Linked DNA regions of Drosophila melanogaster. The protein of the gene in region 1 interacts with the protein of each later gene in a pairwise test. Each region holds a gene or a part of one and is shown on either strand. Other genes may lie near its edges. The genes, in order: CG6479, IM18, CG17841 and Def.

Region 1 (8,378 bases):
TCTTCCTCCTGGCGATTATCTTGATGAACGTCTTCGCCTCCGTTATCTATGACTACTTCAACGAGACGAGCAGGATCCTAAAGGAGCATTCGAATCGGTCGTCTATCACCTTCCTGGAATTTCTGCACGTGGAGTATGCGGATCTTTTTGGCGATGCCTTTCGATGCCTGCGAAAGACGTACGAATCCCGTGGACATACTGTTGCCGAGAATGTGGAACTAGAGCTAAATAGGCGGGAACTGATTAAGTTCAAAAGGGACCTCATAAAGAGCCCGCAGGAGTTGAAAAGGGCACTCCTGACGGAAGAGCAGCGAAGTGCCGACTACCGTTTGCGCGGAGAGAAGTTGTTCAAGCTGATGGCTATCCTGAACCTCCAGGTTGAGATCCTCGAGCGAATGGTATTGGGCGACAAAGATGGCAAACTGCCCACACCACCTGCATCCGACTCCGATCCCGACGACATGCCGGAAATGTATCGGAAGCGCCGTTGATGATCGCCGTGATCGAATGGCAAGTTGATAACCACAAAGGCTTTTCATATTCACGAACTTTGCTATGTATTATTAACTACTTTGTTTTATGCCGCACGGCATTAATAAATGCGTTCCAGTCTAAGAAAGACATCAACTTGGTTTTTGATTGTCTGAGAAAGTCTCTGCTTCCAGTGATATAAAAATTGAGTACACAAGCATTGGGTTTAAAAGGTTATTATTATTTAAATTTTTTCATCGGATGATAATGACCATATATTCTAGTAAGAGAAAGAAAGAGCAGTTCTAGCAACACTTTCCATCATTTTCTATAGGTTGTGCTTTCTATTGCACTAAATGTGACTTTTCCGGCCCCCTGCGACCTCACTTCACCACCGATCATTCCCCTTCGCTGAGCAGCGCGACTTTAGAAATAAGCAGCGATAAATGATTTAATTAAAACACAGATTGGGACTTTTGTTTTCTTTTGCCGAGGGCGCGAATAACTCCACTAATTTCTGGGTGCTCACCTGTCGCGGGGGCTATGGATTTCTGGGTGCGCACGCTTTATTTCAATAATCCAAGAGAGGCACAAATTGGCAACTACATGCTCGTTGCTGCCTCCGCCTGATATAATGCCTGATGAAAGAGTGTGGAAAGAGCCGCGTGGCCAAATCTTGAAGGGGCTCCAAGCTGGCGGCACTAATCGCTCCCGAAACGCACTGCAGACGTCTCAATGCCAGCAGCCAAGCGGCGACGGTTTGAAATTGTCGGACTGCAATTTGTCGCCAGCGCTTGTAATGGCACCCACTCCAGATGACGACATGGCGACACCGGGACCCATATAAAATCCGCCGGTCTGCAGGCGTCGCACTCAGTTAACATGTTCGCGTCCCAAGGGAAGTTACTTTTGGCCTTTGGCCTTTGCCTCGGTCTCCTTCTAACCATAGCGCACGCATCCGCACAGAACGCGTCCAAGGAATCAGAGTCCTGGCAGCCCATGCAGCCGCGGAAACGACAGGCTATCGTGAAACTGGACCCCGTGGGCTCCGCAGTAGCCAAGAGCTACGATCCTCCCCCGGAGTTCTACCGCGGACCGGGCTCATCGTCATCCAAGTTGGATAGCACTGCAGCTGGCTTCATATCCAAGCCCATTGGTGCGCTGCCGCCTTTTGGAGGAGCTCATGGCTCCCAAGCTAGTGACCTAAATGATAACCTTAGCCAGGCCTATGATAAGTGGAAACTAGGTGGGAATATACACGATCGAATAAGCGTGGGTGAGTTCAAAGATTACTCAATCTATATATTCTACAAAGATAAACTCAAACTTAAAATGATTAATATTTGAAATTGATGACTGTTGTTTATTGTAGATTTCATTAAAAATATATTTAATACTATTTAAGGGCATTATGGCAGCAGTGGAAGTGCTGGCAAAAGTTACGCCTATGACAGTCAACCTTATCAGTATGACTACGGACCATCCAACGGACATGGCTATGAGCCAGGACCTGCTCCTGGGCACACCTACTCCTCCAGCGGAGAGGCAGGGGTGCCATACCACGTTTATCGACCTCGACCCGAACATGGCCACTACCCGGGGCCAGCAGTGGATTACTCCTACAGCTCCTACCCCATCGACTCCCACGAGATAGTCTCCCACAAGGGATCGCCAGAGATCTCACCAAAGGCCTTGCTGGCCAAAAGCTTCCTGATTCCGCTGGCCAGTGCCACCGTTCTGGGCATCGCCGCCGCCCTGGTCAGTAATCCTCTCCTGCTGCAACTAGCTCCTGTTCCGGGGATCGGTGTGGGAGTGGGTGTCGGACCTACAGTCGTTGGCAAACGAAGAAGGAGAAGAAGGGCAGTGAAGCGGGCTTTACGATCAGGGAATACTGATGCAAAACTGAATAGCTCTATCTAAGTACCGTCCTCTCGAAAATGTATTAAATCAGGAAACAATATATAAGATATTATTTTTAATATATCATATAGTTACAAGCGTGTTTTTTATTTAAAGTCAGTGATGGCATTTAAATAATTTTAATAATTTAAATAATTTAAATTAAGGGTCTAATGCTACGAGAGCCTAATAATTAGTTGTCTATATGGAGAGAATAAGATAACGTAATTTTAAGTGACTTGTGGAACCTTTTGTAATGGCTATATGTAAGTTTTTTTTTTACATTAGATTGCGTAATTAGTCGACTGAGGTTCAAACCGGCTCGTTGGTCTAGAGGTATGATTCTCGCTTCGGGTGCGAGAGGTCCCGGGTTCAATTCCCGGACGAGCCCCAGTCATCCCAGTGCGCTAAGGAATGTATAATTTTTAAACAAAAAAGTTATATTTTATAAATATTTATTTTAAAATATTTTTAAGTTATTGAGAATACACATTTAGTTGCATGTGTACACAATTATATACAATTTACTTAGGGAATGAAATAAATTAAAAGTTATTTTATATCATTAAAAACAAACTAAATTAAATTAAATTAAGGAATTTTTTAGCGTCCTCATAAATGTTGCAAAATTGTTGAGTCTTCGGTTTTGTACGGCTTATGTCATAATATATTGAAGATAGAGAAAAAATTTGTTTAAAAAACAGCTAATTTTATAACTACTCTAAAAAATATTATAAAACACTGCATTTAAATGATAAATTAAAAGTTGCTGATAAGTAATACGTTTAGAGTGGGTGAATAGCTTTAAACATTCGGATAAACAAAAAATCATTTTAAAAATCATAAAAATAATTTTAGTTCTATTAAAAAATATGATATCATGGATATTGATCCATACCAAAGAAAACATCGCCGATAGGTGTGTGTCTTCGCTAGGGAAAGTGTCTCCGCTAAGGTATCTTGAGCCAACAAAGTACATAACGCGTTTCATTCCAAACGGTATTTATTTTTTGACCTTGTGGTATTCTAACTTTTTGTCTGTGCTATCACTTACAAACAAGTTTTCCCGGCATTTTCGACCTATTCAGGTGATTTTCTAATAATTATCACATAGTAGGCAATGAATTTTACACGGACTAATTGGTAAGTGACAGAAACTAGTGTAGAATTCAGAAAATTAACCCATGAATGCTCCTCAGCTCGCCGCTGAGTAAAAACCCAGTGGTGCAGCGCAGCCTGGACTTGCGATTGCAGGGCGCCCAAGCGCGGCATTACCTCAAGTGGTGCTCCATAAATGTGGTGCTGCTGTCGCTACTCCTCTTCGACCTCTGGCAGGCATGTCGGTCCGCCTACAGGACCTACTGGTTCCTGGCGGAGTGCACCATTACGACCCTGATTGGCCTAAGTGCACTCGCCTGCTTCGGCAAGTATTTGTGGTTATGGTTTGGTGGTGACCAAGTTACGGGTAGCGATATCCAAAAGTGGCTGCTTGATGGCAAGGCAGGTGAGGAATCCAAAGGAACCCGTTCTAACGCATCCACTTAACCACTTTTATTCCTATAGAGAACTCTTTTCGTACAGTTTGCTCCCGAGCCGTGATGAAACCACGCAGCTACGAACCGGATAGCGATATAGAGGACGACATACCCATCATCAACTGGCACTCCTCCTTCGAGGACTCCTGCTGGGGCTCGCAATCCATGCGCCGCAGCCCCAGTCCCACAAGGACGCCGCAGCAGACGAAACAAAACACCTCTTACAACTCCTCGATGGTTCGAAACAACTCGCTGAATGCCAGCAATCTGAGCAACGAGTCTACCTATATGTCCCCGTATGCGGAGGTGCGACGCGATGACTTCATGACCGATACACGAAAGTTGACCAGTCTAATGAAGCAGGCGGATCGGGAGCGCAGCATGATGGACAGCTCGGATACACCCAATGTGCAGAGCATGGGATCGGCCAACTCCTTCTGGAACTACTGCAACAATGCGGCCTATATGCTCAAGACCACCATCTATCAACTATCGCCACCTCCGGCTGTTTCTACGGAAAATGCTCCCACCTCGATTGAGGAGTTTGGCGGTATTCAGTTTAGGGACAGCAATTCGGAGGTCATCAAGCGCATATCCACGGACAAACTGTCGCAATATGTGGCCAACCTAAGATTTGTAAGCATCCCGTTCAATATTCCACTGCAACGTACTAATGTCTTACCATTTTCTAGTGGATTTCTACGACCATACTTCAGCGTTTGGTCAAAGAGATCAATTATGTGGACGATGTTTTCCGCCAGCGAGCTCTGATTGACATTAAAATTGGATCTGTGAGTGTAGAGAGATTACGCAAAACAGCCGAGAACCAGCAGTTCGTGCAGACGTGTGCGCCCATGTTGCCCATGCTCTTACCTTTCCTGGACACCTTCAGCAACCAGGAATACCTGGTGCAGCGCATCAAGGAGCTTGCGCAGGGCTCTTGCATAGCTGACTACCGCTGGTACTCGGGCAAAACACACAACGGTCAGCAGCGGGACGAGCATTTGCCCACCGATGCAGCTGTGAGTATACGAAATTCCGCAACTGAGCACTCTTGATTAATTGTAACCTCATTCTGCAGATAATATTCCATTTATTTTGCGTGTACTTGGATAGCCAGTTGATGCCGTTGCCGCAGGGCGGCGGACGACCCTTTCACTCCCGCTACGTGTTAATTCGCGACGAGAAGAGCTCGACCAAGGACGTGGTGAACGCAGTTCACAACAAGGCCCACTGCGCCATTTTAAGTACCGGCAACCCACTTAACCCTAAATTTAACTTTATCAGCGACAAAGAACTACACAACTGCGTCTACGATAGGAATAACCTGTTCTACGTTATCATACAGTTCCTAATTTATATGCGACAGCACCAGGACTCTGCTCTGGAGTGCGTAAATCTTGGCAAAAGTGGTATCAACATCATGTGCGTCATCGAAGACTGAACAGTGGAACTAGTGGCTATGACTTTTAATCCCACCCCTAATCACTCCTTACTTCTAAGCATGATCCTTTGTGACTCGACTAGCGTTTGGTGACTGGACAATCCTCATCATTCGTTACTATGAAATTATACATTTGTAATTATTAAGCCAACTTACGACTGTTGTGGTTTCGCGGTTATCAAGTGTCGTGTGGCCTGCGGTCTGTGCAATTAACTTGTTTGGCAGTCGGCGGTAAGCTATATTCGCGGATATGTGCACACAGGTGCCCGACTTTAATTGCCCTTTCATGATTCTCACTATTGACCAGCCAGTTGGTGACCTGGCCATTGGCTCGGCCAGCGACATGCTCCCACATGCTCGCCACTTTGCACTTCCGAAAGTGACAAAATTAATGGTTTCCGCCGACGCTGTCGACATTTTGTCGAGTGAGAGACATTGAGAAAATGCTCCAAAGTAGTGCAAAATGAAGGAGTCGCAAACGGAGACCCCTAAAGCAGGCGCCAGGACGAGCAGGACCTGGGCCCTCTCGACCAGTCACATTACCATTTCTCTTGGCCATGCTCATTTCTGGGCTCTGGCTTGACGTTGAATCGGTTGGCTGGTTATTTTAATGCCGCCCATACTCCCGGATGCCCGGATGGCTGGATGGCTGGCACCTCGGGTGAGTAATGTGCCTGGGTTGTCAACTTTACACTTTTATCCCTCGCATTATATTTGCTTTACCTACACAAACACACACACTCAGCCACCCAACCGAACCGAAGCGAACCACACACCCTGTGTGTGTGTGTGTGTGTGTGTGTGTGTGTGGAGTGATATGTTTTCCTGATACTTTTTCTCAAGTTGTAAATTGGCTTAAAAATAATTTGTCAAAGCATTTCAGCCGCGGAGTCGGGAGACGCGATGCCTAAGATGGGAATTGGAGTTGGAACTTGGAGCGTGGAACGTTAGTATCTCCTTGTGCCGAGCCATTTTCTTGTCACAATATTTGGACCCTCGCCTGCTTGAGTAAAATTCCTTTAAAGAAACGCATGTGCGCGTCTTCATATCCAATTAGAAAAGTTTTCCTTCGACTGCTTCGTAATTGTGTTGATTAGTGCGGCTCGCTGGGTTGCTCCCGAGTGGGTGGTGGCTGGGTTTCGGGCGGATTCTCCTCCTAATACCCTGCTGTTGACAAAAGAAGCCTTCTTTGATGGGTGGTGGCTGGGCGGATTGTGTGTTCCCAGCTGATGGCACTTTAAAAATAAATGCGCATTAAATTCGATTGGCAATCGTCTCACACTCTCGTTGAATGGGCTTTTTCTTTACGGCTTACACAAATTTTCATCTAATATTGCTTTGAAGCAGCTTAACTATCCTTGAGACGAGGACGTCTTTGGGGCGTGGCACGGGCAAAGAGGAAAAGTGTAAGTGGAGCACTTGTCAGCTGAAGAAAGGAAAAGTGGCGGAAGGTGTGAACACTCAATGGCCATTGCTATTCAGTTGGATGTGAACATTTTGTATTTAAAGTAAATATGTAAACGGATATAGATGTTCTGATTCAAGACATGTTGAGTAAATCCATGGCATTTATTATAAGACCAAAGACATAAGTAGGGCATTAGGTATAATGTTAAAGAATATTGACCTAATGCCTAGTATAGTTTATATATAAATAAATAAATATATAATAGGCATAATAATAAATATTATACTCTGTTTAAATACTGAAGGCACTTTTAAGTATAATTAATCAGGTTCAAGTTGGCTTAAGCCCAGGAAATTTAAATACCCATTAACTTCATTAAAGTGGCCACCAAAGAGCTGCAACTATTTGAATTGATGACAAGAAAATCGTTGAACATATCAAAGGAGCCACTTTTAATGACAGTTCATTTTAATTTCATTGAGCTGCATAAAGCCCGGTAAAACTGCAGGCAGCGAAACTATTAAAATGATTTTATTATTCCACCTCCGCCCGCTGGCCAGGCACTCACTTAGCCACCAAACTGGATTCGTTGGCCTGGTCAACCAAATATTGACACACAATAAGCTGGTCGCAGTCGGAGCTTTTACTTTTCGGCTTTCCTTTTTGGCTCCGCTTATTTATTTATTTATTTTGCCATCTACTCCGCTGGGGTATGGGGCATGGGGCATTAATGAAAAAAATATTTTTGCCCATTATGCGCCAATATGGTCAGCCATATTTCGGTTTATTTAATTTTGCGCAAATAAAACGGAAGTGGCTCTTTTATTTTCCTTTTGCCAAACGGGGATGTGGAGCAGGAATATGCGCTACATAAAATCCCGATGCTGATGCTGATGCCTTGCGACAATGTTCAAATATTGGGGATGCGACGGCGAGGATGTTGGCTGGGAATTTTTTAGCGCATATTTTAAGCAAGCAATTTGTGTAGTTCCAGTTTAAAGGAGGACCTGGTCCTCGCCAGTTGCTGGCTTTCCCAAGCGTAGCTAAAAATGGAAATGGCTGTCATTTCCTTTGAAACGACGACGACTCACGACGACTACCAACGACTGCCAACTCTCCGCCTTGTTACTCCGCAAACCATCGGCCATTAATGGCCGAAATGAGTTTCCATGCTCAGCTATTCAGCTATTTTACCATTTTGCTATTGGGCGGGCAGCAGGAGCAGCAGTTTTCCAACTTCAACTGGCAATGGCTTAAAGTCTCGCAAAGACATGCAACCGGATCGGCCATTGAAATATTAATTAGTCGTATAACCGTCTCCTGGCCACCGGGAATTGCTGCAGTGTTTGCCTGACTGACGATTGCTGCAGTGCAACCACTAAAATCTGGTGCCACCAGAGCCACCTGCCGCATCGCACTCCTTTCACTTCCCACTGATAACTTACGCAACTAATCTGCGCTATGGATGTGTGACTACGTGCGTCGGGGTTGCGGGGCCATTTGCATTTAATCGGATTTGGCCAGATTTCAGGTTGTTCTCCTGATTCCAGAAAAACGAACATCAGCCTCAGCCAGCTCCAGTCCCGTGTCCAAAGTCCAAAGTCCATTTGTTGTGTAATTT
Region 2 (7,109 bases), on another chromosome or scaffold:
GTTACGTACTCCATTCGGGTCTATAGTCCGTATACGAAGCACAAATGATATATGTGGTTCTATGTGGTTTAAAGGGGACTATGTGCTATGGGTGATATGCTAATGCTGGATTTGCATCACTCTTCTGGAATTTCTGGAAATCACGGGGTGATTCCTTCGAGTAGCTTTCGAACACCATAGGCCAGGTTTATTGGCCTTGTTGTAGCGATTCAGACACTGGCTGGCACACAAGAAGTACGAGTATTGGCCAGGTCTCGGCGACCCCGTTCGCCGTTCGATAAAGATCTTAATGAGATAAGATTGAGCACAAATCGGGCGAAATGGCAGTGGCGCTTATCAGGCCGATAATTACGGCTGAGCAAAGCCCCCCGAAAATCGCCTTGATGGATTGATCCATCCTGAATGGGTGGGCGGGAGCTGCTCCCAAATCTGCGCTCGATAATTAGCATTAAGGTTTTATAATGGATTTTGATTGATTGCCGTAAATTTTGCTGGCACGTTGGGTCACTTGGGCAGCCGCCCAAAATTGCGGCAGTAGAGTTCCGTCAGCATGTCGCAACAGAAGCAAAAATCGCAGGAGTCCAATCCGAACGCCAGGTGGCGCCTGGAAGGACACCAAAGGAGTGCGATAGCCTGCTTCTTCGGTGAACTGGCGGCGACTGCCGTCTTCGTTTTCATAGCCTGCATGGGCTGTGTGGAAACGCCGCTGTTCCAGAATTCGCACTTTCGCAGTGGCCTCACCTTCGGCCTGGCCATTCTCATCGCCATCCAGTGCTTCGGCTCCGTTTCCGGTGCCCACTTAAATCCGGCCATCACCCTGGCTGCCTGGCTCTACGGCGCAATCGGTTGGATCCGGGCCATTGCTTACTTTGTGGCCCAGGCTGCCGGAGCCCTGATAGGCTATGGTCTCCTGGTGGCTGTTCTGCCTGGGAACTCCATCAAGGGTGTGGACAACCCGTCGGGTGTTTGTGTGACAATTCTGGCCCCCGGAATCAGCGTACTTCAGGGGGTCTTCATCGAGTTCCTCATTACCTGCTGCCTGGTCATGGTGGCCTGTTCGGTGTGGGATCCACGGAACGCCAAGCTGCAGGATTCGGTGCCCGTGAGATTCGGTCTCACCGTCTCCTGTCTGATCCTCACAGCGGTTGGTATTTCGGTGCGTTTCAAAGTTGCGAAGTGTTACTTAATGGGAAGTCTGTTGCTTTTAGGGTCTCTTCACGGGAGCCAGCATGAATCCGACCAGATCACTGGGTCCAGCTGTTTGGAACGACTCCTGGGCACACCACTGGATCTACTGGGTGGGTCCTTTGGTGGCAGGAGCTGTGACCTCGCTGATCTATCGCATGGCCTTTAAGGGCGACGAGGAGATCGATCTGAGGACTTCCGATGCCAAGATACGAATGATCGGAGAGGTTATAGTGCAATAGGTGTGAATTGAATCTTATCGAATAAACTATATATATATACGAATATGTTGTAATAATAGAGCCACAAAATATTTAGGTCGATTAAGTAATTAAGCACCACCTTGTATTATTTCCATAGCATACAATTGGGATGAGCGGCGATATTGGCCATTTTTTTGGGGGCTCGTATTCGCTGGAAAGTTTGTCGAGTTTGTCATATATATCAATAGGTCCATAGGTCTTTGAAAATCATTATCAATGGCCATTGATAAGTAGCCCCTTTTAGAATTGCTCAGCTTGATAGCGAATGAAATGTTCTGCGTTTCAACCATTACAACAGGCGGCTTAAATCATATTGATTAGATGGCTTATAGCCCCCTTTCTAGTGGGACACTAACTTAGTGCCTTGTCACATTTTGAATTGCCTTAAAACGTCATAAAGTGGACATACGCACTCGAGTGAATGGAGCACACCAACGCGAATGTTTGGCAATAGTTGGGTAGATATGAGTATATAGAAACGCTGGCTGATAACCCACCTAAGGCGATTAGACGAGATTGCCGGCGATTAAGAGCCGGCGATAGAGTATGCGATTCGCACCATTGAGTACTTGGTCTGGAGTGCAGTCCACGTCGGACCACGTCTCCGTTAAAGTCAATCGCTCGTCGCGACGCACGTAAATCATGGCTACAACCGCAAGGTGATCCACCAAGTTCCAAGTCTTAAAATCAAAATCTAAAATATCCTCGAAGAGTGACTCAAAAAAATTTAAACACAATGAAACCCACAAGAATACTAAAATGGAATACTCCTCTCTATTTCGCAGCCAATCCAACTGCTGGCTGCTGCAGCGCCGCCAGCTGGACAGCATCACAACAGTTCTTGCCGAGATGATAGCCACCGCTATGCTGATGTTCCTCGGATGCATGGGCAGTGTGGAGAACTCCGTGTTCACCAACTCGGACTTCCAGAGCGCCCTGAACTTCGGATTCGTGGTGCTAATCTGCATCCAGTGCTTCGGTTGCGTGTGTGGCGCCCACCTGAATCCCGCCGTCACCCTGGCCACCTACGTCTACAACATGATCTCCCTGCCGATGGCTTTGGCCTATTTTGTGGCCCAGATGGTGGGCGCCTTCATTGGCTACGGCCTGCTGAAGGCGGTGCTCCCGGAGAGCGCCATCTACAGCGCTGAGAACCCCAATGGCGTCTGCCTCACCTCGCTCAACAGCACCTTGACCCCATGGCAGGGACTGGCCGTGGAGTTCCTGATCACCTGCGTCCTCATCTCCGTGTGCTGCGGCGTCTGGGATCCCCGCAATGCCACCAAGCAGGACTCGCTGCCAGTGCGATTTGGTCTGGCCATCGCATGCCTGTCGCTCACAGCGGTAAGTTGATTATTGTTCGGAATAATTCAGATACAGTATTAGATATATCTTATTTTGTAATCCACCTTAATGTCTGTTTGTCCAAGTAATACCGATACAGATAAGACTGTCTGCTCTTAAGAAATATCAAATTGACGATCCGCTATGCTAAAATTCCATTCACTATCTGTTTTCAATTTATCAGGCAAATGCACTTGACTTTCTCGGTATCGATGATAACCTTTCTTTAAATGGCATATATACACTTTTAATATAGACATTTTAGCCATCCCATGAAATGCAATCAATAGGTATCAAAAAAATGTTCTTAATAAACAATTGTAAATCCCCCAACAGGGACAACTGACTGGGGCTAGTATGAATCCAGTCCGATCCTTTGCTCCGGCCATTTGGAACGGATTCTGGGATGACCACTGGATCTACTGGGTGGGTCCCATGGCGGCTGCCCTGATCACCTCGGTGATCTACAAGCACGCCTTCCGGCGGGAGCTGGAGGAATCGGAGGTGGACGAGACGACGATGTCAACCAAGAGGACCTCGGAGGCGGAGCTCGCCTAAATGGATTTACTACACATAGGACAAGTTATCGTTTAAGTTCGTGTTCGTGAGAGCGGAGAGAGCGGATAGTTTTAAGTTGCGAAGCGTGCAAATAAATAGCTTAAATAATTTCCAACGCCTGACGACTATATATTTAATCTAATGTAAATGCTATGCTTATCTAAGCCAGATTATTTTTACGCCACGGCGAACTGCTTATCGTTAATATTTAATTGCTCATACACTTGATCAAATAAGCCACACGGTAGCCAAAAACGTCGAGCTTATGTTTATTGTCACAGCTCAGTTGCACACTGGAATTTCCAAGGGCTTATAAGGTGGCGTATACGCATGATTCCACACGAAGGGCACCATGATGGCGGCCAGGATCTGGCCAGTCAGCTGCATTAGAACCGAATTCGGACTGCCGTAGAATATGGCAGGCACCAATGTCTTGGCGGGGTTCATACTGGCTCCAGTTAGTTGAATCTGCAATAAATGCATATATAGCTATAGTATCTATAGATACAAAATCCAAAGCCTTTCAACTCACCCCTGCGAAACTGCAAGCGATCACGAGGAGACCCATGCGAATGGCGACCGAGTCGAGGAACCTTCCGTTTCGCACGTCCCACAAGGAGCACCATCCGAGCACGAGGACCGCGGTCAGCAGGCACTCGATGATGACGACCTGGTATGTGGACAGAGTGTCCATCGGTTGTACCAGGCAAATGCCTGGCTTGCTTTTGTCCACCAGCTCCTTGGGCAGCAGTTGCATTAGCAGGAAGTAACCAAGGAAAGCACCGGCCATCTGACACACCACGTACATCATCATCACTTCCAGGGCGATGTAGCCCATCAAGTAGCATGAGATCGAGATGCATGGATTCGAATGGGCTCCGGATACGAAGCCAAACACGTGCATCACCACCATCACCGTCAGGCCATAGTGAACGCTATACGATAGAGTATTTAACAATATTCTATTATAGAAATCTCACTAAGCATCACCTGGCCACCAAGAATTTGCTCTCACCACCTTGGTTCGTTGAGTCTCCCATGCAACCGAGCAAAATCAGTAGCGCAGTGGCACTGAACTCGGTGGCTCCGCGTATAAAGGTAAAGAAGTCCCAGATCATCGTGAATTATCCGTAATATGTAATGTATCACAGACAATTTAAGGAAAAAACTAACTAACTAAATGATCACTGACTAACTATGTATGTCTGAGTATTGATTCTCCTACCGAATTCGTATATTGGAAATGTTTAACAAATATATTCGCAAAGCAAGAGGGGTTAGGTTTACTTGGATCATTTGTTAGCCATTTTTGAATGTGTTTTTGCCTCACCTAGTTGGCGTGGAGAAACTTATTAACGAAAAAAGCATAAGTACACAAATTTGACGCAGAGCTTAAAGTATGTTTCGGGGGGCTTATAAGATTCTTACTTTTTTAAAGACAAGAGATACCATGTTTCTATGGTAAGTACGTCCGCAATGTGAGTTCCCTTAAATCCACAATTTCCATGCAGCAAGAGACGACCGTTTAGCGATCTTTTTGACAAAGGAGGCAGTGGCGGTATCGACACGTATCATGTTGTGAGTATCTCCTAACTAAACATTTCAATGACTCATAAAGAACGTTTACCTCCAAGAAACATTTGCAGGGGAACAAGGGAAAAGAGGCAAGGATCATGGAACTGACCGCACAAATCGAGTCACTTGAAATGCAAATCAAAGCCCTTGAGAAAAGTAAGTCGTCCGAGGCGAAGACTGCGAGGGGTAAACTTATATTAGTGCTCAAAGAGTTGAAACAAGCCCTCCGAAACATAAGAATGAATAAATAAACATAAAACTAAATGATTGCAACAACTTGTTTGTACTGGCAAGGGCGATGGTAATTTTACATTTGACATGCGTAACCAACGCGCCACCTATGGGACAGCAAGAATGCGTAGCATAGTTTTTGGCATAGCGAAGAATGAGATAACTATAAAATGTGGTTATATGCAGAATTTCAGCTCCATATCAGCAGTTTGCCAGTTTGAAGTATCTTCAACACTTTGCAATTACTTTCAAACTTTTAGAGATAATCAAAATTAGCTGTTTTCATTTTCGTAAGCATGGACATTAACCCAATAATCAGATCTATTCTCAGCCGCTTCAGAGGCTGCACCATCAGGTAGGTTGCATTCTGTGATTATACATATTCAATCATAACATTTTGATATATAGAAGTTATCTGGTTGTCCTGCCCGATCAGAGTCGCATAGAAAATCAACTAAAACTGGAGGATCTGCAAACAGTAAGTTGTTACCTTTCAAGATAGATGATACAAAAATCGAGCGCCATCTAATCAAATCCCATCGTCAGGAACGCGGAATCTTGGATCTGCAATCCCATGAGCTGGCACTCAAGCAAAAGCGCGTCGAGGCCAATCTAACCGACCTGACCCGCTGCATCCGTGGCATGGAGTTCGATGTGAAGGTGAATTCCAATCGCGAGAGGAAGGAGAGAAAATCTGATCGACGCCCCCCAGCTGATAAGAAATCACCCAAAGTCGGTGATTTCAGCGAATAGCAAAATCCCCCCGGGTGCTTCCCAATCCCAAGGGCATACGAGTGCAGCGTATAAAAACAAGCTATTGCCGGAGGTCGGCATTCAGATTCACTTGAGATTGCCAACCATGAAGCTGATCGCATTGTGCTGCCTGCTCCTTTTGGGCCTCCTGGGCTTCCTAGCTGCTCCCGGCGTCGCCTCGCCATCTCGCCACACTGGACCAGGAAACGGATCGGGATCTGGAGCTGGGTCCGGAAATCCGTTCAGGTCTCCAAGCTCACAGCAACGACCACTGTACTACGACGCTCCGATTGGGAAACCATCGAAGACTATGTACGCCTGACGTAAAGAATGAAACAATAAAGATTTGAAACGCCTAAACTAAATTAATCGCCCAGTTTCCTTATCTTACTTATGAAATGGCCTTGATACACATCTGCTTACTATTTATAAAATGCGTAATAATTATTTCTAAATTTATTGCAAATTCTAAATTTCATATCGAAGTAGTTGCTTTTGACCGTACGTCAAATATCCACATTGTACTTTCAGACTTGTAAAATGTATTTCTGCCACACTGATTTCGTTCTATCCTAAACTTAAGAAGCCATGTTTCCTGTTGCACGAATCTTAGGCTCGGCATCGTGCAACAGGCTATTTCAACCTCAGGTGCTATGTCAAGAAAGAGTTTGGTATGTAGTACTGGAAATTTATCCAAACTTTATTTGTAAATCTTCTAAATATTAGTTGGCCTTCCAATGAGTTGCACAGAAATTTACCAAGGCATAGAAACTTTTACCACGGTAGAAACATTTTCCACCCAAGGTCGAATAATAATTTAAACGAATTTCCTGCTAAGTAAGTATTTTATTATTCAAATGACCCGTAAAAATAATTTTTTTTTTACATATGATAGACGTCAATTCACTGACAAATTTTCCGAGAAGGGCAGAGGCGAGGAACTTAACTATGTTCTCAAACTTGTATGTATCGAAACTATTTAATGTTGTGAATAACCTTGTAGAATTGGGTATTCCATAGGCCTCAGAGCAATTTATGAAGATAAAAAAGAACAGGGTTAAAGAAATCGCCAATGATATCGTCAAATTGAAAGAGGAGATCAAGATTTTGGAATCCAAAACTAGCCACAAATCAAGGAAACACAAGGAGAATCTGCTAAAGGAATTGAAAGCTCTGAAGGATTTGTTGGAGCAATTCAAA
Region 3 (8,387 bases), on another chromosome or scaffold:
CGCAAAAACCAGAATCTCCAATTGTTGGCAAGATCATTAGGAAGGAACAGCACAAAGTGCCTCGTACCATGGAAGACGGCATCGATATGAGCTACCAGTACTTCGTGTCTATTCCCCTAAAGCGTGGCAGGAAGCCACAGGTAGTTCGCTACCTTTACCGCCCAATGGTGCGTCAACTTAACGCTCCCACTTCGCCCAATCGACGCTCGAGGCGGGCAAGTAGAAAAGCAGCAGCGGCGGCAGCAGCTGCAGCGGCCAGCGAAGAAGAGCAGTTAAAGGCAGCGGAGGAGGGATCACCTAAGATAGATCCCGAGCTGAAAGCACTGGGCGGAGTGCCTGTGCCGCTGGAGGATCCACCGCAGGTTAAGGAGCCATCACCACAACCGGCAGTTAAGCCAAAGATATTCGTAGATCCCGAGGCAGTTCTAAATGGTCCGTACGAGGTGCCACCGCTCAAGCTGGATGCCCGCTACAAGTCGATGATGGAGCAGTTGGCCCAGATGCCATATCCCGAGGATCGATCATCTCGTGCTCGTCGTCGACGCTCCAATCGCCAAGCTCGCGCTGCCGGTGGCGCTGACCAGGTGCCTACATCGGTGCATAGCCTGGGCGTTGGAGACGGTGACGCGCCTAAAAGTGATATGAACTCCCTGCAGCAGGTGTCCTCCATATGGAAATCTGGTTCGCGTTTGCCAAAACCAGTCAACTATCAACCAGAACCTAAACGTCTGTGCACGGCTACCGGTGCTCCCATGTCATTTCATTCTCCGGTGCAATTCGGACACTCCGTGGCGGACTCGGACCACTTTATTCTGCCAGATGAGCCAATGATTCAGGCCATAACCTATGACGACATCGAACAGACGGAGCAAAAGCTACTGGATGAGAAGCCGGTTCAAAAGGAGGAGGAACGCAAAGAGGGAACAACCAAATCAGTGAGCTTTCATCCTGTCGAGGCAGAAGTAAGTGAGTTCCACTTGAGCAGCAGCTCCATCAGCATCAGCTTAACTTCGAGCAGCAACTGTGGCGTAACCAAGACCAAAACCTCTCGCCCCTCCAAGAAGAGGAAGTCCAAGTCCAAGGGAAGGGGCAAGTTGCGTAAGTGATAAGAGGTTTGCGCAATCTGGAGTTGACCACCAAGTATCCGGCATCGTGGACCACAAGCTAAACTAAGCAATTTCTATTGATCTCCATAGCATACATAGATGTGAAAAATCAATCCTTTTTTTAACCTTTACAAATTATACGTGATTTTGTAGGCTTTGAATAAACTACCACTCAATTATAAATGGTAACATAATACCAGCTAAGCACACTCCAGTTCAAGTTCTACATATCCATATACACTCACATAGGGTTTCCACGCAATGGCAATGACGATGACTTCACCACCAGGCGCACCTGCGAAAGGTCAAGGGTGGTGGAACCGGCCAAGGTCCTGCTGTGGCGATTGCTCAATGCCAGGATGTTGGTCATTAGCGCAGAACTGGCGCCACCAACTAATACGAAGCGATTGCCCAACCCCCCAAGTCGTAATGAAGCCGCTTGAAATAGACTCAAATTAGCTGAAGTGCTTCGATAATAATTGGTTAATGTTTTAATAGAACCAATACAGCTTTAATGGTCAATATTAAAAGAAATGTATAGCAATGTAATACTGGGGATTTAGTCCATAACTTTTGACATCATTTCTGCGACTACAATAGATGTTGACCCATTTGCCCACGCAATCAATTAGTCAAATGTGATTCCGCCGCCTAGTGCAAAGTGATCACTTAACCTTGGACGCACCCTGGAGCACTAGTAGCATTCTGGCACTGAATCGGTATCGGAATCAGAATCGGAATCAGAATCGGACTCGGCCTCAGGCCAACAGAACCGTTGCAAAGTCCCCCACATCGAATGTGGGCATTAGTTCCAATTAGAAGCGCAGCCGGTTCTACCTAATGAATGGTCCCAAAAGGTGTCACTGCGCCCCGCTACCGGCTGCGCATTTTACTATATAGTCGTCGGCTATATTATACCCACTATATATATACACATATGTATGTTACACATGCGAATCTATATGTATTCGCGTACAGGTGCTGTATAATATCTGGGTTGGGCCACGATAGGGCAATCGAATCGTATCGAATGTGATTTAGATATCGGTTACTGAGTCGCCATCAAAGCGCCACGAATGTCCACAATCCAAGCGAGCCAGCGGTAATGTAAATAAACAAATAGCCTCAACTATGTCCAATTAAGATTTATGACGAAAGTCAAGGGCTCGGGGAAATGGCGAGTAGTGGCGATGGAAAATTTTTTTTAAATAGTTCTACGTTGTTTGGTTGCTTGTTGTTGTTTGTTGTCATACCCAGTTTTTCCTCGCAATATTCTCGAGCTTTTCGAAAGCCTCCTTCTAAGCATCTAACGACAAGCCGCTTATCAATGCTAGATGCACTCACTCACCCAAATCGATTCGTTTCCCCGATAGCAGAAGCCAGAGCAGACAGACCCGGATAGATAGATAGATAGAGGACGGGCAGATAGGCGGGGCCAATCACTAGAGCCCCGGCTGATTGCCTTATCGCCCAGCGTGGAGGTGAAGTGCGTCTGTTGGACTTACAACGATCGTGGTGAATCAATTAGCCACCAGGAAATTGGGTCGTCTGGCAGGGTCTTTGATGATTAGATGCGTAACCCGGGTCATGCGGATACTAATAGATTCCATGCATACAATTTGAATAGCATAACTAAGGCAGTAAATTCTGTAGCTCAACTTAAATTGAGAAAGGGAAAAGTCTTTACAAATGGTAAAGAAGAGAACCCAAGATCTAGTATACACCTCATTGTGGAAGAAAGCATGTGATGAGCGCTTATCCAAGTCTACTGATAAAGCAGATTGAGCCAATTCCCGTCCAGAGATCGGGTTGTATAACACCTGTACAGCAATTGGGCACACATGGCGTTACCCATATAGACCGGCACTCTCTGTTTCATCATGACAAATGTGCATGTTTGTAATCGCAGTTGGCGGTGATGAGGGCAGGAGGGGAGTAGATACGAAATGAGAAGAGAGCGAAACTCAATTTAAGCGCGTTAAACAATTCTACACACAGTTTAATTAACACTTTGGACTGCGGGGGTAATAGTTAGGCAAGGGGCACTCCATAGTTGGGCAATTACTAATAAATGGCCGTTTTGTACGCTTGCATCAGATGAATTGAAAAGCTGTGAAATAATTTCACTCGCTCAAGCAAGGGAGAATAGATCACAAATGCCTTTTGCCAAATGGACAATTGAATTTCAGGATATATTTGTGCTTTGCGAAATTGGAGCATGTTTCACTGGCTAGTTAAATGCGTCGTCAAGTCGATGGATGCTTGTTCTCCACGCAATTATTCCGTTTCGAAACCCGACTCGCCTTGAGCCAAAACCCGTTCTATCCAACCGCCCACCGCCCACATCCCACGCCCGCCACGAGACCTTGACCCGCATGTCGCTGTGCTCGAGATGATGATATAAATCAGTGTCGGCTAAGGAACGCCATTGCCGAATGTCGGGGACACCAGCCAGCGTCCAGCCGAGCGCGCTCGATTCCATCTGTCTACACGTCGATGAGCAAGTGCCCTCCAAAATGCGTACTTAAAACTGGGCTAGGCACTCACTATTAACTCGCGCCCGCTAATAAATTGCCCAAGATAAGACTGAAGGTAGGGAGGGTAGCCACTTGGGTAGGTTTCCACTTCATAGTCTAACCTAATTAAGCTCCGCAGCGTAATGTCACTGGGTGAGTCATCGTCATGCTCGCCCAAAGACGTAAGGCGGGAATATGATTGATGGTGAGACTACCTGTTACTTGGGCCAACAATTACCTACGTAATCGATGACAGCATCTAGCTGTATCTTTAGCTATCTGAATTTCAACCCAAAAGTCTAACTAAGTCTGTGTGGAAATATGAGTAACATGAGAATTTAACTAAATCGCTCCAGTTGCACTCATGGTAATGATTTAGCCAACACAGAAGTGTCTATAATTATGAACTTATATAAGTATTAGAAACGCATAAATAGATTGCGTAGATCATGTGGTCGAGAAAAGGGCAACTATTGGCTGCCACAGAGTTATTTGGATGGAAAGCCCCCACCACCCGCCAATACCCCGTTCGGCTGCATAACGCAAGTGCAGTAAGTGCGTGTGTGGGTGGCAGTGCGGGAAAATCGATACTAATGTGCGTGCAAGACAGCCGCATCCGTGCATTGCGTGGGCGTCCACTCCTACTCACTTGTTGGTTATCTCCAGGACGTCGGACATCATCAGGCGGTACTTGCGACGAAAGCGCTGTCCATGCGTCGTCTCCAGCAGGTATTTGTTGCAGAAGTCCGTTAGCGAGACAAAATAGATGAATCCCAGCGAGGTGAGCACCAGGCCGCGCTGCAGCGAGATGCGGTCACTGCTGTTCGGTATCTGCCACAGGCTGCCGCAGGCCAGGCCCATCGAACCGATGGAGAAGGCCAGCGAGAAATAGCAGCCGCGTCCCGTTGCCTTGCCCGGCGTGCTGCCCGCCTCCTTGGCGCCAGCATCCTGACTCAATGGCTGCTGCTGTTGTTGCTGCTCCTCCGTACGGACGGCGGCGGTGGTTCCTCCTCCTCTGCCGTTGCCATTCGCCGGCTGTCGGCGCTGCTGCATCCTGGCGCGTATACGCACTCCACGCTCTGATCAAAGCTCGCACTAAAACCTTCTGTTGGCGAAGGCGACGCAACCTGTTGCGGAAACCGAGAAACGGATTCCGGACTCCTGACGCTGCTGCTACCGATGACTGCGGGCTGCGGACTTCACTCGGCGGTTGTTTACAGGCGGCACTGCGTCTGGGACATGGCGATTGGACGACTGGGCGATCGGGAGGAGCTGGAAGACTCGGCGGTGCGAGGGCTCATGGATTCGTGCGGATTCGTCGTCGCAACCAATCGGTGGCAATCGTTCTTCGATTGTGCGTGCCTATCGGCCGGTGTGGCCACACACCAAGCGCACTTTAAATACCAAACTTGATTTTGGGAGAGCACCCCTGATGAAATGCAAACTAATTCAAATTTGTAATATCAATTATCAAATTGAGCTCGGACTAATTTTGGGCATAGTAACGGCACTTATATATAGCTTAATATTTGCAAGACATAACTGCAGCGATAACGATAAGAATACCACTAGCCGTTGGTTTGTGTCACGGCTTTAGCCCATCACGGGGATTATATCTTGACATTTTGAAAAAGTCTTCGAAATTGTCTTTAATTATTTTGCAACATTTAAAAATACACAGCAGCATTCGAAGGGACTTACGGGATAAAACAAAACAAGTAACTAATATTTACTTATGGTCCGCACTGTACTCGAGCGTGCATTCATTCAATCAGCATATATGTATTAAATATGTTTTTTTTTTAATAAAGCACTTGTTTACTTCGTCGCAAAATCAAAAGACAGACTGCGGCCTAAATAAATACGTGCGTCGCTCCATTCATTGAACGTTATGTCTGTTTGCGAAATGTGTAGCAAATTTAGTAATTTTGCGTATATGAAACCAAAATGTCACGATCTCCCTGCTGGATTTTCCTTTTATATTTGGTCCTTATCATTTTCACTTTTACTTTCGCACAAAACTATTGCGATCCAGAACTGTGTCCCAGTGGAAGACACGTGGCCTGCCAAAACAGCGGTGTAAGTTGATGCACACGATGATAAATCTGCACAAATGAAGTTGAACTTCCATAGTTACGAAGGTTCAACTGTACCTGTTTCCAACGCTCTCACGTTCTATCCTGTCTAATCCTGTTCGTCGACTTTTTCTAGCGCTTTGTGAGCGGTTGCAGCGGCGAGTTTGTCCAAGTGGATGCCCACATCCCGCTGATTCTCCAGCTGCACAACGAACGCCGCAACCTGATCGCTGGCGGTGGAGTTAGTGGCTTCCCCAGTGCCGTCCAAATGGCCACAATGTCCTGGGACACGACACTGGCCCAACTGGCCGCCTACAATGCGCTGCAGTGCCGCATGGCGCACGACGAATGCCGCAACACGAACACGTATCGCTATGCCGGCCAGAATCTGAGCATTCTCTTCACCCGAAGTGTGGATGTGGCGGTCTTCCTGCGCCAACGGATCGCCGCCTGGTTCGATGAGAATCGGGATGCGACCAGTGGCGACATGGAGGACTATCAGATGCGCGGTGGACCGTAAGTACACCACCAAGCCGTAGCGAGTTTGGTAATCCCATTAACTCCTTTCCAGAGCAATTGGCCACTTCACCACCATGGTCAACGAGCGAAATAACCGAGTGGGTTGTGCGATTGCTCGATTTACGGACGCCAACAATGTGCAGGCCACCCTGCTGGCTTGCAACTACGCGGTCACCAATGTGGTGAATAACCCGGTTTACAGGGCGGGAACCGCTGCCTCGGAATGCACTACAGGACGAAACTCCAACTATCCGAATCTCTGCTCGCCCAACGAGGTGTACAACTATAATCAATGGTCGGGATAAGGGAATGTATGCTATTTAGCATAACATTTTCAAGCGTAAATGTGCTGAATTGTTTATTTTTATTTGTACTCGACTGCATTTCTGAATATATTTTACACGTATTTATCGAACATTTTTTAAAATTGGACACCCTATCGAATAGATCGAATTCTAAACGATAAGCGATATTTTATCGATTATTTCAGTTTATCTGGCCGCATCGTACCTATCGATTAAGCCTAGCATGGCGTACCATCTCTAGTTGCTCAGCATTCGTACTTTACTTTTCACTCGCAACGGCTGAAATAACGGTTGAACAATGGCGAAGAGTGTCGGTAGTGCGTGCGCGCAAATTGCGATCCTTTTGGCCATCACTTGCAGTGCATCGGAACTTGCGTCGGCCGTGTGTAAGTGAACTCGACAATGGGTGCTTCGCAGTTATTTGCTTATTTCTCCATCTCTTTTGTTTTACCCATCTCTGTCTTAATCCACCTTGTTGGTGTTGTGTGTGTGTGTGTGCGATTGTCTCTTTGCGTACGTGTGTGTGTGTGTCTCTGTCAATGTGCTTTTGCTTGTATGCGTGTGTGTGTGTGTTGGCTGTAAATCTGGTTGTTATTTTCTTGTACGCTACGCAGTTCGAATAAGACGAAAATTCCAATAAGACAGAGAAACAAACACCTGAGGAAAAGACAGCCCATCTATTTGCAGGGGCGGGCTATGCACACTTGGCGCGTAGTTTTCGTATTTTTTTTGGAAGGTGTATTCAATATATTTATGAACTGTTGTTTGTACACAAGGTTCACAGAAAATAAAAAGACAAATCATCATCGAGTGGACTTTTGTTGGCGAAGGGGGGGTAGTGGGATATTAGTTGGTACTTTTTCGTATGGTGAAATTTACCGCTGCCATGTTGTATATACTTCTTTTTTTTTCTACTGTTTTTTCGTGTGCTGGCACATCAAAATGCGTTAATTGACAACAACGAAAAGTGAGTGTGCGTGTGTCCATGTGTGTGTGTGTGTGTGCCAGAGCAGTTAAGTGTGAAAATAGGCAACGTCCTGTGGCCAAACAAGCCCACTTAAAAAAAAAAAATTGAAAATAAAGAAGAAGAAAAGGAAACCAACTCCCGCCACCTCAGACTTTGTATTATTTCGAGTTTTGTTTCGTGCGCGGCGTGCTCATTTGCGCCATGCTCCACTTAACGTGCAACAATTTCCCATCTGCGACATCGCCACCAGGCGAACAACCTGCATATATCAATTGAAATCGCTGATTGGGGCGCAAAAGCTCATTGTTTTTGTCGCAATTTGCAATTGAAACGCAAACGCTGGAGCAGCTAAATAATTTGTAACGTAGAAAACAGAAACAATGACGAAACAACAAGCTGGCAACTCGTTTGCCACCGTTCTTTCGCTTTCGCGCGTTTCTGCGACAGGTGGCAACTTTGTTGCCACCGGCTAACGGCACTTTTCAGTTTTCATTTCGCAATTTGCCAATAGGAAAACCAAATTGCGGCGGAAAAGTGCTGACGTAACGGTTAATACCAACCACCCACTGAATGCGCCCACTTTGCACACACACACACACACGGCTACACGTATTTCCGTCTTGTTGATTCAGTTTGAACGGAGTTTCGCTTTCTTTGTCTCCTTATCGGCTCATCCACACATCAGTTAAAGTGCACTCCGCTATCTGCGTGGCCGCCGCTGCCTATCGTTATCGAAATCTAGAATCCACACGGCGCACCTTTGTTTCTCGCAGTGTATACCCCCTAGATTTGCTCTAGGAAAACAAAGTACCTAAATAAAAATGACTCGACGCTGTACTGTTTATATGTATGTTGGGTATTTACAAAGTAATTCGTTTTTTTTTTATTTGTTTACAAGC
Region 4 (6,700 bases), on another chromosome or scaffold:
GATTGGGAATGCAAATGACACTTTTGCTGGTGATTATCTAAGTTTTTGAAATAGGGCGTTATCCCGAAAACGTGCCTGGATTGAAAATTCCCACTTGGAGCACCCTGTTGCCTCCCGCCCCCCTCACATTGTCTCACCCTCTTAGCCACAAATTATAAACAGAGACAGCTCAAGGATTGTTACCAAGATAACGACAAAATTATTGACTGACAGTTCTCACGCTCGAAGAACGAGGCGGCGAAGAGGAGGCTGCAATGGGCGGAGAAGAATCAGAAGAACAAGCTCCACACTTTAAATACTTCTTCACACTTTGTCATCATCAGGCAGCTTAGTGACATTGGCAAAATGACTAAAAAAGGTATTTAAATGAGAATGAGAAAGGATTGCTAGCCTTTTAGGTCGAATCTGGAATACGCTTTAGTAGTAGCACGAAAGATACGACTGCATATAAATGCCTGAAATGCGAATTCTTCAGTTCTATTATGCCTGTTTTATGTCAAATAGGAATAAGAACGAAATCGGTAACTTCTCTTCTTAAATCAAATGCGAATTCCTACGCTTTGTGGACACAACCAATTGTAAGCGAAATTTTGATTTAATTTTAAAGGGTATAGAAATAAAGAGGAGCAAGCGCGCAGGAAAGAATCGCTTTTGACTTGTGATCATTTTGTGTTCTCCTTTTTGCAGCTCCTCGCGCTCTTTTTCTTTTTTCTGCAGGAATAAGAAACACGTTCGTTCGTCGGTCAGATGAAACAAAAACAAAAATCAAGGTGTGGGATTGAAGACAGGCCAAGGAGGAGGCGATCAGAAGAGGAGACAAGAGAAGAAACAAAAAAAAAGGAGGAGAGAGAAGAAGAAGAAGGAGCCGGCGACTCTCTTTTCGGAGTTTGGCAGACAGCGCGGCGGCGAACAAGCTGGAGAAAGACAGGGAGAAGAAGAACGAGCGCAGCTTCTTTGTTGGCTGACTTTTGGTACCTTTGATACCTGGAATATTGGAGTGTTTTCTCGGGATTTACGAAGTAATCGCTTGTAGCCTTGGCAGAAAGTTTGGCAGGCTCCGCTTACAAGCACTTGTACAAATTGTACAAAAGACTAAATGCAACTTCAAATGATTGCCGTCATCATCATATAACTTCATATATGAATTGGATTACTAGATACATCTACCTATGTATGTAAAAAGTTCTGAGAGGTAAGAACTTCTAGAGAGGAATATGTTCGCCGGCTGAATAATCTGAATAATGATATTAATTTAACACCTTCTATTCAAAATGTAATATTGTAACTTAAATATGAGTAACTGTATAAATTCAGCAAACATTTTACTGCACATGATTAACCCAATTCACTTTGGTTTGTTCGGGGAATATTTTGTTAACAATTTTTCGAAAGTAAACTTACCAACTGATCGTCACTTTTTCCAGTCGCAATGAAAACCGCCAGCCAAGTGACGAACAAAACACATCTCGCCAACATTTCACTTAGCAGTTCGAATTCGTCAATTAACTGTTACTGTGCTTCGGAGGATGGGGGATTGGTTTGATACGCGTGTTTATTGCATCAAGTACGATTCTCTCATTATAATCAAAGTTTTTCGTTTATTTCACCATCTTTTTCGCAAAGTCGCAATTAGATTTTCTTCCTAGAACTTTTACTTTGCCGCTCTCCGATTTATTTATTTACCGATTACCGTGGTCTATTTATAGTGAGAGAGGTGTGTGCGTGTGCATTAAGGTGTTGTGGATCTTCTGTTTATATAATGCGTCTTAATGTGTGCGATTTTTGGTTCGTTTCGATTGGAAAACCGTCCGAAAATGTTCAGGAAGCGAGGAGCGAGGAGCACGGATCACAACGAATCTGCAGAGCGCACTTCAATAGTCAACCGATCGCAGCCGAGTTCCACACACGACTGGCCATTTGCCTTGGAGTGGAGTGGCCCAAAACGCAAGAGAGAGGCCCCAGGTGAGAGTGGGCGAAGAATCGGATTCGGAATCGGAATCGGAATCGAGCTGAGAGATCGGCGGAGAGAGCGAGGGACATCGCCGCCGCCAGAGTGTCTGGCGTGTCGCTTCCAATATCTTATCTTTGCCACACTCCGACTTGTGGAGGCTGGACGGACAGCACAGTGGAGCCTCTCTCAGTTAAACCATAGGTCAACGGTACCGAACGAAGATATTGTGACTGTAATTCCAAACGTGTGCTTGAACGACTAATTAACTATCACTACCCCATTATTAGTACACTAAAACTAAACCAGCATTAAAACAGCATTTTATGTATGAATTTATAACTTAGGGATGTTCTACTGTAGCAGCATAAAAACGATCACATTCACACACCAGCAGACAGAGAGCAGCACTTGTGTATGCGTGTGAAATTTATCTTTCCTTGTGCATCTCAAGAGGTTGCCTCACCAACAAAAGCAACAAAAAACCTCTAAAACAAAGCGGCCAACAGTTGCACCAGCTGCTCAGCCAGCGGGGGAGGGGCCAGGGGCAAGGGGCGCAGGGACGTCGGGGTAGGGGCAGGCGGTCAGGGGAAAACGTGAGCCGTCGAGGGCCCCGCTCCTGTGATTTATAGAGCCGCTGGCCAAGGAGTTCGCCTGGAGAGGATTTTAGGTGGATGGAGGAGGCGGAGGCGGAGACGAAGTGGAGTTGCCGGTCTCCGTCTTCGATTCGGTGTGAAACCTGCCAGACAGTCTGACGGCGGCGATAACTGCCCCCTCTTGCCCACTACTTGATATACCCCAACACCCCGAACACCCCCGTTCCTGCCGTCACTTTGTTTTCGGCTGTGCCACACTCCGTTTTGTGGTCTTCTTCGATGATCGAGCATGCACTGGGGAAAATATACCTGTACTTGTAAATAGTACCTTCGTCCAGAAGTAGCAACTCTAGCTAACTCCAAATCTTCTACAATATTGAGGGATCTATAGATTTGGATTTTGGGATGTACATATGCAGTTCTGATGCGTACACCTATCTATAAGCCTTTACATATTACAAAAAAATCCTCATGTATTGATATTAAAGACTCTCTGTGGAAACGCAAAAGATTCGATATTTTCTCCTCGTGTGAAGATGGGCATGCGGGCAACACTCTAGACTGTAGACGGTTGTAAGGGGCGGGGTAGAAACTCAAGTGGAGTGGACTGGCAGACAGTATGACGCCAAAATGCAAGACAAGACAACCTGGTCGATAACAAAGGTAAACAGGCAACGGCCAGCCAAGGAGCAGGGCAACTGAAAAAGCCTCGGTCGTGGGATTCGATCGGGATTGTCGGCTCAGCGCGACTGGGCTGAGAACCAGATGCAGATGCCGATACAGATATAGATACACGTACGCGCAGATACGGATTCAGATACAAGTACACCCGCCCCTGCCGCTGTATGCCCAACTAATCATTGTGTGATTCTTGTTTGTTTATTTGCCCGGCATTATGAAGAGACTTTTCGGTAGAAATTATTTATTGTCGCATGTGTTTATGTATCCGTAACCGAGTATCTCAGTTGCTTGAGCCAACTGTGTAGCTGTGTAGCTGTGAGTATAGCCCTTAAAGTGGCACCCAATCGGTCAGTTAGCTAGAAATTCAGATGATTAAATATGGATTCCCCTACATCAGCTAATTTCAACAGTTTGGGAGTAATAAAATCGAAATTGGATGCTACTAAAGGGCACATATTTACTTAGGCTTTTATCAACGTTGCATATATACAAATATCCTGCATATTTCGCAAACCAAAGATTCTTTCTCAAGTAAGGCCTAAACAATTTGAAATGGTTAATTTCGTAGATGTTGCTTTTTACAATTAACTTGTCATGTGGAATATACTTTACTGCCTAAAATTTAAGGCAGTTAAAATCCCTAGAAATGCAAATAACTTATTGCAGAAACGGGCTCTGTCGGCTGTATTTTGCTCTTATCTATGAAATATTGTCAATATTTTCCAGGCAAAGCACATGAAATAATGATCTAGACAACGGTTTCTCCCATTTGCAGTGAACTTAAAAATTAAAAACCCCCGAGACGTGTCTTCCTGCACAGAAAAAGAGACAATGGGAAGGTAAGTCACCGGGTGGGAGTCCCTGGGCCGAATCGATCAGCCCGTCGCATTGCTATATAAGCTCGGCGAAACCACAATCTGCAACAACAGTATCTCTCCAGTTGTATTCCAAGATGAAGTTCTTCGTTCTCGTGGCTATCGCTTTTGCTCTGCTTGCTTGCGTGGCGCAGGCTCAGCCAGTTTCCGATGTGGATCCAATTCCAGAGGATCATGTCCTGGTGCATGAGGATGCCCACCAGGAGGTGCTGCAGCATAGCCGCCAGAAGCGAGCCACATGCGACCTACTCTCCAAGTGGAACTGGAACCACACCGCCTGCGCCGGCCACTGCATTGCCAAGGGGTTCAAAGGCGGCTACTGCAACGACAAGGCCGTCTGCGTTTGCCGCAATTGATTTCGTTTCGCTCTGTGTACACCAAAAATTTTCGTTTTTTAAGTGTCACACATAAAACAAAACGTTGAAAAATTCTATATATAAATGGATCCTTTTAATCGACAGATATTTAAATATTATAATGATTTGTAATTATTACTAATTACTTTTTATGGAAATAATTGGTAAGAAGGAACTGGGACTGTAAAAATTTCTTAATAGTTAAGCTACTATTTTAATAATAAATATTGATCACAGAAAATTTTCAAAATATTTTATATTTCTTTGGCTTTATAACTTTCAAAGTCATAGAAGAACGACTTAATTATTCCTTGTGTATGTTCCTTAGTCTTAGTCTGTGAAAATAATCTGCGTTTATCATTACCAATTCGTACAACAAAATATCGGTCATTAGCGTTAGCGACTTACCATATAAGTTAACTAAACCTAATCGAGCTAAAAAAAAAATTGAGGTCCCGAGGAGCACGATCTATATATACCAAATATATACGTATATATTTACTTTGTTTAAAAAAGCTCTTAACGGGAGCAGTTATTGGTCTTCATGGCGATTCAAGGCAGATTTTAATAAAGAAATATTAAGCTCAGTAAACTTTACTTAAAAAAGCAATACAAATTTGAAATTCTTTTTAAATTTGTATAATTTCTCCCATCGATTGTTTGCGTTGTACTTTAATATAATTTGGTTACATAAAGCTTTTGCTGTAGTTTCCAAACATACAATGTCATATAACGGCATAATTAGTCAGTTTCTAACTGAGCAACAAACGGAAACAGCTTTCGCATATACTTTATTCCGCATAACTTTGAAAAGAAACAATAATATTTTCTATTCTTACGACAAAAATACTCATTATCATAAACCGGCAGCCTTTCAATTTACTATAAAACACGAATGCAACCTGAACGAGCTGGAACAGTTCTCGATTTCATATCACAACATGAAGATCACGATTATTCTGGCGCTAACTCTAGTTGCGGTTTGCTTAATGCAGGTTCGATCTATTCCGAAGGATTCCGAGAATAGACTTCTGCAAAAGGAGCTTCAAAGGAGTCTTATCCAGGATGCGAAGGAACATGTCCGCCCAAGGCGACAGTCCTGCATTGAGCGGTGCAATTCCCTCTGTTCGAAGAAGGGCTTTAAAGGTGTTTGTGTTAAAGGTTTGTGCCGTTGCACTTGATTTTAATAAGGAGATATATATTTTTCTATATATTTTTAAATAAAATCCACATTAAATCTATGTGTTTTCTATTTAAGATTGCGGTGCTTCTCGAACTCATTCATAGCTGAATAAATTATCATCGATCGCTTATCTCGTAGCCCGCGAATGCCACTTTCCGTTTGGCAGGGTCAAAAAATTGAACCTACGCTAAAAGGTATAGCAACAATTTGCATTGCATTTCCGTTTCTTTTGCGGCATTGCTCTATAAATACGGCAAGTCCGACGACTACAATTCGTTCTTATCAATTAACCGAGCAAACAAACAGACGCCAAGAAAAATGATCATCAGTGCAAGCGAACAAGGGGAATAGGGAAGAGAAACACGCGCCGAGAGAGAAACACGACACTTAATTAACGCCAATTATAATGGTTAATAAGAGTATGTAGAAATCGAGGAACGCGGCCGACTTGTGGGTTTCTTTTAATTTACAAACGCTTTGCCGGTTAATTACGCGAACCCCTCGTCCTCACATCTCGATCCGAAAACAGAGCAACCACTCGCGAGCGATTCTCCATTTGCACTGACTCTTCAGTTATCGGCTCACTATATAGTAGCACATCGGCTAATGTACATAAGTTTTCGATCTAGAGCTAAGAGAATACGAGAATTGAGATGCACATATGTATATAATGCAGCTCTCCCCCAAACTTAAACATTTCAACGTGCATCGTGCTACGATCAAGATTTGAATTAACGCGCGCACTTGACTATCGATATTTTTTTTGTTCAAACGATTTACAAATGTTAAACGACATCATTTTATGTGAATCATCAAATTAAATCTCTTAACGACAAGTACACATATTTCATTTTTAGCTTAAAATAGGTAGAGATGGTCACCTTAAAAATATTTGATAGCCAAAACTGGCGTTAGCTAGAAAAGTTCTATCGATAGCCGGGTATTATCAATAAGGTTTCTTTAAAACGTTTACCACAATTCTTGTGAACGCTGACCCAGACCCACTGACCGCGTCCCTCGTCACCACATCTTGGGCATAAATTAAGTAGAATTCTTCACTT

What was found.
Region 2: the proteins of CG6479 (region 1) and IM18 interact in a two-hybrid assay, tested with the Drosophila melanogaster proteins (one large-scale study listed by BioGRID).
Region 3: the proteins of CG6479 (region 1) and CG17841 interact in a two-hybrid assay, tested with the Drosophila melanogaster proteins (one large-scale study listed by BioGRID).
Region 4: the proteins of CG6479 (region 1) and Def interact in a two-hybrid assay, tested with the Drosophila melanogaster proteins (one large-scale study listed by BioGRID).

Annotation. Positions count from the first base shown.
Region 1 is NT_037436.4:17,334,292-17,342,669, reverse strand, and holds CG6479 (uncharacterized protein), read left to right. Parts: upstream 1-3,407; 5' UTR 3,408-3,490; coding exon 3,491-3,513; intron 3,514-3,533; exon of another isoform or gene 3,534-3,558; coding exon of another isoform or gene 3,559-3,569; coding exon 3,570-3,874; intron 3,875-3,933; coding exon 3,934-4,541; intron 4,542-4,597; coding exon 4,598-4,927; intron 4,928-4,986; coding exon 4,987-5,349; 3' UTR 5,350-5,498; downstream 5,499-8,378. Other genes in the region: brv2 (brivido-2), read left to right, coding at 1-491; CG13727 (uncharacterized protein), read left to right, coding at 1,354-1,747, 1,877-2,391.
Region 2 is NT_033778.4:23,600,076-23,607,184, reverse strand, and holds IM18 (immune induced molecule 18), read left to right. Parts: upstream 1-5,411; 5' UTR 5,412-5,452; coding exon of another isoform or gene 5,453-5,511; intron 5,512-5,564; coding exon of another isoform or gene 5,565-5,634; intron 5,635-5,702; coding exon of another isoform or gene 5,703-5,909; 5' UTR 5,910-6,015; coding exon 6,016-6,231; 3' UTR 6,232-6,271; downstream 6,272-7,109. Other genes in the region: Eglp3 (entomoglyceroporin 3), read left to right, coding at 551-1,144, 1,209-1,427; Eglp2 (entomoglyceroporin 2), read left to right, coding at 2,234-2,792, 3,129-3,350; Eglp1 (entomoglyceroporin 1), read right to left, coding at 3,633-3,818, 3,883-4,285, 4,341-4,468; CG43209 (uncharacterized protein), read left to right, coding at 4,750-4,811, 4,862-4,928, 4,985-5,176; CG10332 (uncharacterized protein), read left to right, coding at 5,453-5,511, 5,565-5,634, 5,703-5,909; CG42559 (uncharacterized protein), read left to right, coding at 6,498-6,580, 6,636-6,746, 6,805-6,871, 6,930-7,109.
Region 3 is NC_004354.4:10,364,644-10,373,030, reverse strand, and holds the start of CG17841 (uncharacterized protein), read right to left. Parts: upstream 4,980-8,387; 5' UTR 4,676-4,979; coding exon 4,272-4,675; intron 1,315-4,271; exon of another isoform or gene 1,107-1,314; coding exon of another isoform or gene 1-1,106. Other genes in the region: CG32686 (uncharacterized protein), read left to right, coding at 1-1,106; CG32679 (uncharacterized protein), read left to right, coding at 5,570-5,701, 5,834-6,213, 6,269-6,521; l(1)G0289 (lethal (1) G0289), read left to right, coding at 6,820-6,907.
Region 4 is NT_033778.4:10,052,045-10,058,744, reverse strand, and holds Def (defensin), read left to right. Parts: upstream 1-4,168; 5' UTR 4,169-4,177; coding exon 4,178-4,456; 3' UTR 4,457-4,567; downstream 4,568-6,700. Other genes in the region: magu, read right to left, coding at 1,402-1,476. UniProt on the Drosophila melanogaster protein: Responsible for the anti Gram-positive activity of immune hemolymph. Expressed in the absence of immune challenge during metamorphosis.